3 linked regions of the Arabidopsis thaliana genome follow. Each later gene encodes a partner of the first gene's protein in a complex. Each region holds a gene or a part of one and is shown on either strand. Other genes may lie near its edges.

What was found. The genes of interacting proteins can lie anywhere in the genome.
Region 2: rps11 (region 1) and AT3G13120 share a complex: the UniProt entries of both Arabidopsis thaliana proteins name them as parts of the 30S ribosomal subunit.
Region 3: rps11 (region 1) and EMB3137 share a complex: the UniProt entries of both Arabidopsis thaliana proteins name them as parts of the 30S ribosomal subunit.

Annotation. Positions count from the first base shown.
Region 1 is NC_000932.1:78,460-82,148, reverse strand, and holds rps11 (ribosomal protein S11), read left to right. Parts: upstream 1-2,772; coding exon 2,773-3,189; downstream 3,190-3,689. Other genes in the region: rpl14 (ribosomal protein L14), read left to right, coding at 1,085-1,453; rps8 (ribosomal protein S8), read left to right, coding at 1,677-2,081; rpl36 (ribosomal protein L36), read left to right, coding at 2,547-2,660; rpoA (RNA polymerase alpha subunit), read left to right, coding at 3,259-3,689.
Region 2 is NC_003074.8:4,218,810-4,223,596, reverse strand, and holds AT3G13120 (Ribosomal protein S10p/S20e family protein), read left to right. Parts: upstream 1-1,949; 5' UTR 1,950-2,070; coding exon 2,071-2,295; intron 2,296-2,447; coding exon 2,448-2,486; intron 2,487-2,975; coding exon 2,976-3,287; 3' UTR 3,288-3,308; exon of another isoform or gene 3,309-3,324; intron 3,325-3,496; 3' UTR 3,497-4,287; downstream 4,288-4,787. Other genes in the region: AT3G13130 (uncharacterized protein), read right to left, coding at 1-589.
Region 3 is NC_003076.8:4,616,718-4,620,906, reverse strand, and holds EMB3137 (Ribosomal protein S13/S18 family), read left to right. Parts: upstream 1-1,925; 5' UTR 1,926-2,134; coding exon 2,135-2,251; intron 2,252-2,448; coding exon 2,449-2,673; coding exon of another isoform or gene 2,674-2,718; exon of another isoform or gene 2,719-2,900; coding exon 2,901-3,068; 3' UTR 3,069-3,484; downstream 3,485-4,189. Other genes in the region: AT5G14330 (uncharacterized protein), read left to right, coding at 356-468, 687-960; CXE16 (carboxyesterase 16), read right to left, coding at 3,485-4,025. UniProt on the Arabidopsis thaliana protein: Located at the top of the head of the 30S subunit, it contacts several helices of the 16S rRNA.

The sequences.
Region 1 (3,689 bases):
GTAGAATTCGGGCCTAATGATTAATCAAGAAGCGATGGGAACGACGGAACCCATGAATATAGAGGATTCTATTGAAAAATAAATCTTAGTAATTCATTGGACAGGATGGCGGAATAAACCAGATTATTATCTATTCTTATTTTTATTCAGAGATCTCCTGGGATAAACAACAAACTTAATATAGATATTGAAAGAGTAAATATTCGCCGGCGAATACTTTTTTTTTAATAAAAGTAATAAAAAACAAAAATTAAAAAGATAAAAGAAAATAAGGATTTGTTAGAATATTCTAACAAAAACGACATTCGAGATGATGATATTACGTTACGTTATTTTTAAATAAATAGAATTAATCTTGGATTCCATTTCGAAAAAGACATACACAAATTTAGAAGAGATCAGATGAAATTGAATATCATGATTAATAGAATTAATCATTAACTATATCTTAATACAAGCTTTTTTAGTCCTTTTATTCGCGAGGAGCTGGATGAGAAGAAACTCTCACGTTCAGTTCTGTAGTAGAGATGGAATTTCTAATTTAGAACCATCAACTATAACCCAAAAAGAACCAGATTTCGTAAACAACATCGAGGAAGACTAAAAGGAATATCTTCTCGTGGGAATCGTATTTGTTTTGGCAGATATGCTCTTCAAACACTTGAACCCGCTTGGATCACATCTAGACAAATAGAAGCAGGGCGACGCGCAATGACACGAAATGTACGACGTGGTGGAAAAATTTGGGTACGTATATTTCCAGACAAACCAGTTACAGTAAGACCTGCGGAAACGCGTATGGGTTCTGGGAAAGGATCCCCTGAGTATTGGGTAGCTGTGGTTAAACCAGGTAAAATCCTTTATGAAATGGGTGGTGTACCCGAAAATATAGCAAGAAAAGCTATTTCAATAGCGGCATCAAAAATGCCTATAAAAACCCAATTCATTATTTCTGAATAGGAATATATAATGAAAAAACTAAATAACATTTAAGGGTAAAAAGATTATAAGTTTTCTTTTTTTGACAAACAATATTTTTTTACTTCGTCCTTTGCATTAAAAGAAGAGATACAAAAAAAATGATATGATTCAACCACAAACCTATTTGAATGTAGCAGACAACAGCGGGGCTAGAGAATTGATGTGTATTCGAATAATAGGAGCTAGTAATCGCCGATATGCTCATATTGGTGACGTTATTGTTGCTGTAATCAAAGAAGCAATACCAAATACTCCTCTAGAAAGATCAGAAGTGATTAGAGCTGTAATTGTACGTACTTGTAAAGAACTCAAACGTAACAATGGGACGATAATACGATATGATGACAATGCCGCAGTTGTCATTGATCAAGAAGGAAATCCAAAAGGAACTCGAGTTTTTGGGGCGATCCCACGGGAATTGAGACAATTAAACTTTACTAAAATAGTTTCATTAGCTCCTGAGGTATTATAAGATCTAAATATCGATAGCGATAGTTAGTATCGGATTAAAAAAACAGGTATTGAAATAAAATTAATTAATAGATTCTGTATCACGCATATACCCTTAATAATAAAATATTAAGAATTTAATTCATATATTAATATATAATTCGTCTATATCTATATATAAATAAAAGAAAAAGAACATGTTGATTATATCAAAATTATAGAACAATAAGGAATTTTAACTTATCATGGGGAAAGACACCATTGCTGATATAATAACCTCTATACGAAATGCTGACATGAATAGAAAAGGAACGGTTCGGATAGGATCGACTAACATCACGGAAAGTATTGTTAAAATCCTTTTACGAGAGGGTTTTATCGAAAACGTAAGGAAACATCGCGAAAACAACCAATATTTTTTGATTTTAACCCTAAGACATAGACGAAATAAGAAAGAATCCTACAAAACGATTTTAAATTTAAAGAGAATAAGTCGACCGGGTCTACGAATCTATTCTAACTCTCAACGAATTCCACGAATTTTAGGCGGAATAGGAATTGTAATCCTTTCGACTTCTCAAGGTATAATGACAGACCGAGAAGCTCGACTAAAAAGAATCGGCGGAGAAATTTTGTGTTATATATGGTAATCCTTCTAATATAAAAATTAGATATCTGTAACTTACAATTTGTGAAAAAAGGGGGTTGTGTAATACCACCCCTGTTCAAAAAAGTTTCGGATGTTTTACTTCGAATGAAATTAAAGAAAAAATGAATTAATAAAAGTTTTCTTTCTTAATCACTTCCGAACGGCATGGTTCGATTTTGTTTAGATACTAAAGATTTTTTTTCGTTCATGCTTCTGAAAGGATTCGACATATTTTTGTATAGGTATACCTATAGGATAAAAAGGTAAAATTTTGAGTAAGTTCTTAAGTATAAGTTAATAAGGGGACAGCCATTTTCTAGACTCCATAATAAGTATTCAAATGAGTAAGTGTTTTTTCAATTTCAACCATTCCTTTCACGAAGATACAATTCAAGATTCAAAAATATCAAGAAACCTTTTTTTCGTCCACCAATAAATATATTCACAGAATTAAGGAATAACAACTATGAAAATAAGGGCTTCCGTTCGTAAAATTTGTGAAAAGTGTCGACTAATCCGCAGGAGGGGACGAATTATAGTAATTTGTTCCAACCCGAGGCATAAACAAAGACAAGGATAATCTTACTAAAGGAACTAAAGTAAAAGAAAAGGCACTTCCAAAGAGTTGGAAAAAAGGGTCTATTTTGACCTGAAATGGATATATCCATATATTTCTTGTGAAATGAAAAAAAATGGCAAAACCTATATTAAGAATTGGTTCGCGTAAAAATACACGTAGTGGTTCACGTAAAAATGTACGTAGAATACCAAAGGGAGTTATTCATGTTCAAGCAAGTTTCAACAATACCATTGTAACCGTTACAGATGTACGGGGTCGGGTGATTTCTTGGTCCTCCGCAGGTACTTGTGGATTCCGGGGTACAAGAAGAGGAACACCCTTTGCTGCCCAAACCGCAGCAGGAAATGCTATTCGAGCAGTAGTGGATCAAGGTATGCAACGAGCTGAAGTAAGGATAAAAGGCCCTGGACTCGGAAGAGATGCGGCATTACGAGCTATTCGTAGAAGCGGTATACTTTTAAGTTTCGTACGAGATGTAACCCCTATGCCACATAATGGTTGTAGACCCCCTAAAAAAAGACGTGTATAGAACTAAAAAAAGGCTAAAAGGGTTTCAAGAGAAATAAACGATTCAACGATCTGATCAAATAAAATTACTATGGTTCGAGAGAAAGTCAAAGTATCTACTCGGACACTACAGTGGAAGTGTGTTGAATCAAAAAGAGACAGTAAGCGTCTTTATTATGGACGCTTTATTCTGTCTCCACTTATGAAAGGCCAAGCCGACACAATAGGCATTGCGATGCGAAGAGCTTTACTTGGCGAAATAGAAGGAACATGTATTACACGTGCAAAATCTGAGAACATACCACATGACTATTCTAACATAGCAGGTATTCAAGAATCAGTACATGAAATTTTAATGAATTTGAACGAGATTGTATTAAGAAGTAATCTATATGGAACGCGCAACGCGCTTATTTGTGTCCAAGGTCCTGGATATATAACTGCTCGAGACATTATTTTACCGCCCGCTGTGGAAATCATTGATAATACACAGCATATAGCTACCTTAACAGAACCAATAGA
Region 2 (4,787 bases), on another chromosome or scaffold:
GCCGTTTAGCTTCGATTCTAAGCTCTTCCTTCATCTTTCTGATGAACTCGTCGAATTTCTTATTCATCTCCTCCTCCGTCGATGTCATCACTCCTACGTTCCCTTCTTCTTCCTCGTTTATAGATCCGCCACGAAGACCACACTCTTCCTCTCCATCATTATCTGCTAATGTGTTGTCGTCGTCATCTTCTTCTTCGTTGTCCTCGGTTTCTTGATGTTTTGTATCTTCCTCCACTGTAACTTCCTCTGCAAGAAAGGACTCTGTTCCTATTCCATGATCAGATTTATACTCTAGCTCCAGTATCGTAGTGTAACTCTCGAAATCTCCATAATCAAAGGTTTTATCGGTATTACTCCAAATTTTCTCTATTGGTTTGGACGAAGCGACCAAACCAGAACACTTAGCAACAACCACTACGAGACCATTGCAGAGGAGGAACATGTAGTTTTTATCTACTGCGTGTGTTACGAGTTGGATCATGAACCTATATAAATAGAAGTCGTGGCTGGTTAAAAGAGATAAAATCCACATCGAAACTGCTATAAACTTGGTCAATTTCTTCAGAAACTCCGGTTTTATTTGATCCATCTCTCTGGTTTCTTTTCTTTGGTTTTGTGAGTGAATGGTGAGGACTAGAATAAGAAGAAGAAGAAGAAGGAATTAAACAGGTTAAAGTGTAATTGTGCAAAGCGTTACACTACACTCAACGGCTTTGGTATTTATAGAATTTAAGCCAAAGGCAATGGGCATCTGTGGATGATTTTACCAAACCACCCCTTGTTCTGAAGCTGCATGGCTGCATGCCACGTGTGAAGTGTGATTTCCCAGTTATGTGGATAAAAAAAAGTCTCTGTGTTTCTTCTATTGTTTGTTTGTCAACTAATCCATGTTTTCTTATGTCCTATTATTGGTTACATTGCGAAACGACCTCTGGTTAGTGTTCCAAAAGTTCCGAATCTTTTATGACCTCTGATGGAATTCGGATTTTTTTTCTTTTTATATCATCAAGCTATACATGATGACTTAGCTTTTATGGTATGTTAATGGTAAAGGAATATGACTTTTAAGTCATGTATAGCTTGATGATATATATAAAAAAAAATACTCATGATTGAGACAAATACAAACGGAATAGTAAGGGATGATTGGTCTTTGAATAGTGTGAGGGCTTGTGGACAATAATATTTAGAAGATGTCATTGTCTTTTATGTCTTTGATTGGTTTAAGTCATTTTCCTTCTTTAAATTGCATGGATTTGGCGACATCATTATGTTAATTGTTAGGCTTCTTCTACATGTATTTTGCTTTTATTAAAAAAAAATTATACTTGAACTACGCTAACACCTTATATTTCCGTGTGAGATTATGGATCACACATTTGAAGGTATATATTTACAGATTATGGATCACACAATTACAGATAAAATTAAGAACAATGCATTTAAAAGTCAAAAATCAAAACTACGGAATCCTTCCTTGATATTATTGTCTTTTGTATTCAAATTAATATTATTTTATGAGTTTGTATTATTTCATCGAATATTTATATTGTCCATTTTTTTCCACATTCATTGCATATTTTCATGGGGTTTTGTTTGTCAAGTAGTTCATTTTGTCTTCCACTTTTCTTAAATTTTCCATCTACTTCACGAATGTTTGTGTGTTGAATTTTCCAAAAGATATTTATGAGATACAAAAGAATCTTCTAAAGACAGATCACAATCCACAAGAAAGAAAATACCGAAAGACAAATGAATCATATTTTACTAGGTTAGAATATTTTTGGTCCCCAAAAGAACTATAAAATATGGGCCTAATGGGTACTTTTGGTCCCTAACAGAAACTATACAATTTGGGCCTAATGGGTATTCATTTATAATAAGCGTAGGCCTTTTAATGAATTAATGGGCTTAGAATAAATAATATCTCATCATTTAAAAAAGAGAGAAAAAGGTTTTGGATAAAATGGATAACCCTCAAGAAGAAGCTGCTGAAGAAGAAACCTCATCCTTCGAACGTTAAGAGGAAGAAGAATAAGAGAAATCGATTCGTGGTTTTGGGAAAATTCAATGGCGGTTTCTACTGTATCGTCGTTTCTATTGCCATCTTTCGGCATTCCAAGCTCTTCGCCTTCTTCTACCAGACTCAAAGTCTCTCTGCTGCCTTCATCTTCTACCCATGGCGGCCTTAGTTCCTGCGTCCTTACGAAACCATCCGTCTCGCTTACGAAGGTCTTCGCTGTTCCCGATACCCTAGATCCAACTCCAGAAATTCTCGATGAACCCGCCTCTGAGGTACACTCTTTCCTCTGTCAGTCTCGGATTCGATTGTTTGCAGAGCTAATGCGAAATTTGGGGGGGGGGGGGGAAAGACATTGTTTTGCAGAATCATTTAGCACTTTGATGTTAATTCTGTTAATAATAGTCTTTGTGTCTGTGTGATTCAGGTTCCGAGCTCTTCATCCATCAGTGTAGACGCGGATAAGGTATATTCCGTTACTGTTACAGCTCACTTACTAGAATACAGATTTTACGAGTACTTGTGCATTGGTGTGTTCTAAATTCTGTGTCCATCTTCGTCAAAACAGTAGACTTTTTTGCTTTACTACGTTTTCACAGCGCTAAAAAGTATCATATCTGTTCTAACACCAATGCCCATTGCTGTGTTAGAGGTCACTGCTAGAAATTGATACGCAAATTTTCAAATTTGATGTCTTCAATGTCTATCTTTGTCAGATCAATAGACTTCTTTGGTTTACTACGTTTTTTCAGAGCGATAAAGAGTCTCATTTGTGTGAAATGCCTTCAAGTAGATATCATCTTGTATATACAGGAAAGGAGAAGTAATTGTATAGAAATCTTGATCGTCTTTAGATGGTATCTTCATAAGATTTGCCACAATAGAGTTTTGTTTTAAGGGGTCTTGTGGAGTTTCATTGTGTTTGGTTTAATTTGATTTATTTTTGTGTTATCAGATGGCGCCAAAGCAAAAGATTAGGATCAAGCTTAGATCATACTGGGTGCCTCTTATTGAGGACTCATGCAAGCAGATACTTGATGCTGCGAGAAACACCAATGCAAAGACGATGGGTCCTGTTCCATTGCCAACCAAGAAGCGTATCTACTGTGTTCTCAAGTCTCCTCACGTTCACAAGGATGCTAGGTTCCATTTTGAAATCCGGACACACCAGCGCATGATTGATATTCTCTACCCGACTGCTCAAACTATCGATTCTTTGATGCAACTTGATCTTCCTGCTGGTGTCGATGTGGAAGTGAAGCTCTGAAGAAGAAGCGTAACTACAATGGTAACAAACAAAAAAAGTGATCTCTCTTCTTAATGGTTTTTGAATATTGATGTGTCTTAGCTACTGAAACTGCACATAGGCTCCAATATTTATCCTCAAAAACAAAACTTCATCAAATTACAATCTTTCTCTGTTGACCATCAAGATCTTGATGCTTGTTCTTAACCAAAGTGTTTTTTCTTCCTCAGATGTGATGGGCACTTTTGCATTGAATGAACAGACTGTTTCAGATCAACTACATTGCTTAGAACTGGTAAGCCTTGTATCATCTTTTTTGAGAACCTTTGTAACGAAAATGTAAGTTGTATTATCTGGTCCTTGGAATCTATCTTTAGCGATGCTTGGTTCTTAGTTGATGAACATATCCTTAATTAAGCAAGTTCAAAGGAATTTGTTTTTGTTTTACTAATTGTTATGCAGTTTGCCTGTGTCCATTATGATAAGTTTTTTTATTTTTGTTGTATTCAAAGTGGAATCTTTTTTTTGAATATAAGTATTATAGTAGTATTATAGTAGGAATAAGAAGATGCACAACTTGAGTTATTTTAAAACCAGGAGGTTGGAATCTTGAAAGCGACTTCATTATTATAATAAACGTATAAGTTCGTTTATCCACAAACTCAATAGGGAAATTATAATTTTTTGTCACAACACATTTCATTTATCAATTATCCTCTAGACTCAGTTCGTCTCTTTTCTTAGCAGCCAATTAAAACCTGCAAGTGTTGTTTTACCAGTCTTTCCTTTCCAAGCTTACGAAACGATCCAAGGGAAAAAACAGTAATGGTTTCGAATTTATGTCTGATAAGTCGATGGCGCTTTTTCTTATCTAATTTGGAATTTTGGATGATGCAGAAATTGTCAACCCCCCAATATTATAAAGTTGAAGAATATTCTTTTCCATGTTCAATCATACACACAACTATATCATTATTTTAATCATATGAAATGGTTTTTGGTATAGTAAGAAGTGGTTCATTGTAAGATAATGTCTTGACCAAAGAAGAAAGAAAACGAATAGTCGCCAAAATTGAATTTGGTTTAAGTAGATGAGACAATGATGTGGCGGTTTATAATAGTCGTTAAAGTTAAGGCATATTCCCACGATATACCAACATGGACCGTCCATTATTATTTATTTTGATTATAGTTTGTTCTCAAAAACACTCGAATAAATTGCTTTTTTTTTTCACAGCATTACTGAAATCATACATAATTTCTGCTTCCATAATCTTATATTTTACGAGATCGGTTTTATGATAAACTTTCAAGTAGTACCATTATGGGTTGTATTTTCTTTTACTACCATTTTGGGTTTATTGCAATTTGCATAAACATATTCAAAACTATTTTGCGTTCAACCAAATGGTTAAACTCTGGTTCATATTGATATACCAAAACACTCATATTGGATCAAATATGTAAGGTGATAATAACACTGATATGAACTAGTATACTATGTCTTATGAGTCACTATTT
Region 3 (4,189 bases), on another chromosome or scaffold:
TATCTACCGTTTTATCAAATAATTTTCTTTTTATTATTTGTTTGTTTACTAGAATTACAGTTTTTTCAAACAGATAAATAATCATATTAATAATAACATTTGCTAAATTTAGTTAAAAGAATCATGGTGTTACTTTTTAAGTTTTACTGGTTTGCTTTCAAGTTTCAAGAATGATTGTATAGTACTTTCGGATGTTTGATCTTTAAAACTTGTTGGTACAGTTGGAATGCTTTATTGGAAATATCAAACTATCACCAACGCTAACATTTCTATTCTTTTTGAACTTCATCAAGAGCCAAAGCCCCTGATCGGCCTCACAAAAGACACCATTTTCTTTGGTCTCCGGCAACAGAACATGGATTGGAATCAATCCCTAATCAAACCGGGTCAATTTGGCTTAGTCAAGAAACGTCCCTCTTATGTAACAGCTGTTCCAGAACGGCAGAACATTCACGAACATATAAATGGGTGTCCACTAACAAATTCAAACACATAACCATGATCACTCTGTCCTTTTTTCCATTTTTTTAAATATTCAAGTAAACAACATGTAAATTATAACGAATTTAGGTCGTCTCAACATCATGACTCATTCACATGCGTTGACTTTTAACCCACTAAACATTTTTTATAGGACCCCTCTCTCTCTCTATAAATTCGACCCCCTTTGTTGATAGATCATACAGAGAACAACAAAGAAAGAAACCAAATAAGAAGAAAAAGGAGAAGAACATTCAAATGGCACCAAGAAGTTCTTTGATCCGCTTCGCCTTCATCTGCATTGTCTTGGCCGTGATGGTCATGACTGCTGAGTCGCACAACGGAACCCACCACCATGGTCCGGCTATGGCTCCAATGCCACCCATGGCTAAGGCTCCGTCTCCAAGTGCCGCCACTTTCTCCGCCTACCCTCAGCTCATCGCCACCGCATTGGTCGCTGCTATGTCTTTCGTCTTCTGATGAGATGTGTTGCCATTCATCTTCAGAATATGTTTTACTCTCTATGAGATTTTATTTTAATTTTCACATGTATTCCTTCTTTTTTTGTTAATTCTTCAAAGATTGTGATGTTGTGTTCCTATCATAATAAAACATTTATCTCTTGATGTTTTTTTTATTATCTTAATCATATTTTCCTCTTTTTCGAACCAAATCTTCTAATCAAGGCATTATAATGGCCCGTTTGAGAAAAGGTGGACTTTCTTTTTAAAATCAACTAATTCATCTTAAGGTTATAGAATAGATAAATATCCGAAGTAAATATATAAAATAAATTGGGTCAGCCTAAACAAAATAATGAAATGCAGGCCTTACGTGACAGTAATGGGTACGCCTCAACAAATAATGGTGTATTCACTATTCAGACGTTGGTGTCAAAATCAATGAGTGATATCCTTATTAGAAGAACGACAAGCTTTAAACTAGTTTCATGTGTAAAGTACGAAACAATAAACATCATGAAAACACTCGAAATATTGTAGTAAACTTGCCAACAAAACCATGAGTACAAGTGTACAACTCCAATGAATCAGATATATATGCAAGATGGAAAAAATCCCCAAACACCTTAAAATACAACAACATGTGACAATAACGAAGTGAACGACCATCTCGATAAATAGTTAACAAGACTCATTCTCATCCGTTGACTTTTCATCTATACACTTACCATTTTTTTTATACAATCTTTTTCTATCATGACTCTATCCTCAATAGCTACGTGCCCACATGGAGCCAAGGCTCATGCCTTTCGTCTTCTGATCAAATGTGTGTCATTGATCACACCATTCATCTTAGTTGTTAAGAAAATATCTGTAAATCATTTTTTTTTTCATTTTATAGTTGTATCACTTTATTATAGTCCACTCGGTTTTTGCATTTTTGTTATAGTCCACTAGTTGGGCCGTGTTATACAATAGCGAGCCTATCTCAACAAAAAACAAAGCCCAACAAGTATTTATTTTGCCAGTTTTGTAAGCAATTAATTGAATAGAGTAAGTAGAGACGGAGCAAAAACAAGAGAAGCGTTTGGATTCGACGTTTGCCTTATCCGTTCAGCTCATCTTCTTCTTCTTCTTCGTCACCTCTGAATTAGTTTCCCAGAATCCGAAATTCCTAGGAAGAGAACATAACAATGGCGCAGATGGTTGCGATGCCCGTAGCGCACTCGCTCTCACTCATTTGCAATTGGGCAAAATCCAATCCTCTCTCTCGCAACACTCTTGCCCTCCCAGCTTCAAACACTCCCAATGTAATCATTTCTCTTGGACTCTCTCTTGCGTATGATGTTGTAATTTATCGAGCTTGACTTCATGTTTTTTTATGTGTTACTTCATTCTTGTTCGTCAATTTTTGGGTTAGGGGTGGTTATAGAACACTCCATCAATTTTTGGGGGAATTTGTCTCTGTGTTTTTAAAGTTTTTTTTTTTTTTTGTAATGAAATGCAGAAGCAGAGTCTAAGCATCAGATGTGCTCGTGTTGGTGGAGTGGAGATTCCGGCTAATAAGAGAATTGAGTACTCTCTTCAGTACATTCATGGGATTGGTCGAACTAGGGCTCGTCAGATTCTTGTTGATCTTCAGATGGAGAACAAGATTACTAAAGACATGGCTGAGGAAGAACTCATCATTCTTCGTGATGAAGTCTCCAAGTACATGATTGAGGGTGATCTGGTAATACACTTTCCCTTACATTTACACACTTTAGGACATGAGTAATGTGCATCATAGTTTCAGTTTCTGTCAGTCCATTCTCGAGCAGTTTCTTGAAGATTGGAGAAGAACTTAGGCTGCTATCTATTTGGTGTTTTCATTGCTTTAGTTTGGGTTTCCTCTTGTTTTGATTTGGTTCTTAGGCCTTTGTGAATGAATTATTGATTTGTGTTGTGGATGTTGTGCAGAGGAGGTTCAATGCTCTTGCAATCAAGAGGTTGAAGGAGATCCAGTGTTACCGTGGGGTAAGGCACATCCAAGGGCTGCCATGTCGGGGACAGAGAACCAAGAACAACTGCAGGACTCTTAAAGGCAAGAAAATTGCTATTGCAGGGAAGAAGAAAGTTTCCAAGTAATCATCTTCATGATCTCCTTCTTCTTCTGTAATACTCTTTTTAGTTTGTCTAGTCATCTCTGTTTAAATGTGATTTGTAATTCCCAAACCTTTGTTCGAACTGAGCCCTTTCCAGTTTATCTTCGGCTTTTTAGCTATTATTATTCCGTATCTTCATCATTCATTATAAAGTTACAAAAGAAGTTGAAGATTTCAGCATTCAAGAATGATGACAAACCAAGAACAAACTTGAAAATTTGGTCGAACCAAAAATGGTTTATTCAGAATACGTACATATGAATACATAAGTAACCAAAAAATAAAATTTTATAGCTTTTGCCAAAAGACTCGATCTTGGATTGTCTCTAATCCTACCCAGAAAATCTTGCTATCACACAAAAAAAAGGAAGAAAATGAATAATAACAGGGTAAAAATTTTCAGTAAGAGAACTCATGGCCGCGGAGTGAAATGTATTTCTTGACCCAAATGGCAATATCTTCGGCGCAGGCCTGTGCCTGAGGAGTCTTGAGAAGCATATCAAGTGTAGCAAACTCATGAACTGCGTCTTTGTATTCTAAAACTGGAGAATCTACGTTTACCTTTCTAAGCTCTTCTGAATAAGCAATGGCTCGGTCTCTCATCCAGTCATGCTCAGCTACTACTGTAAGTGTTGGAGGCATTAGCTTCAGAGGTGGTCCACTGCGGTTATGGGCAAGTGGGTTTGCTGCCGGGTGGTCAAAGTCGAACTCTTTCTCTGGTAAGAAGAGTTTCCAGGCTAGAACAGAGACAGGCTTATCGTAGAAGTAAGAGTTTGCCAGCTTTATTTCGGACTGTGTTGGGTTGTTTCCAATGAAAAAGGGGTACATTAGAACCTGTGCAACAACTTTCACCGGTTCTAGAAGTTTCCCAGCTTCCACTGCTTTCCGAGCTACATAGTCTGCTATGTTCCCACCACAGCTCACCCCGAGAAGAACACATCTGTTTTAACATCATATGAAGCAACAGGTTGAGACACAGAAGTTGATGTGAGATTGCAATCAATGGAAGATAAGCTATCTTAGTTCATCTAACTAGTTGTCCAAAGAATCCTGACTTTGTACCAAGTTACTCCTAGATCAACATGAAACTATTCTTAAGATCTT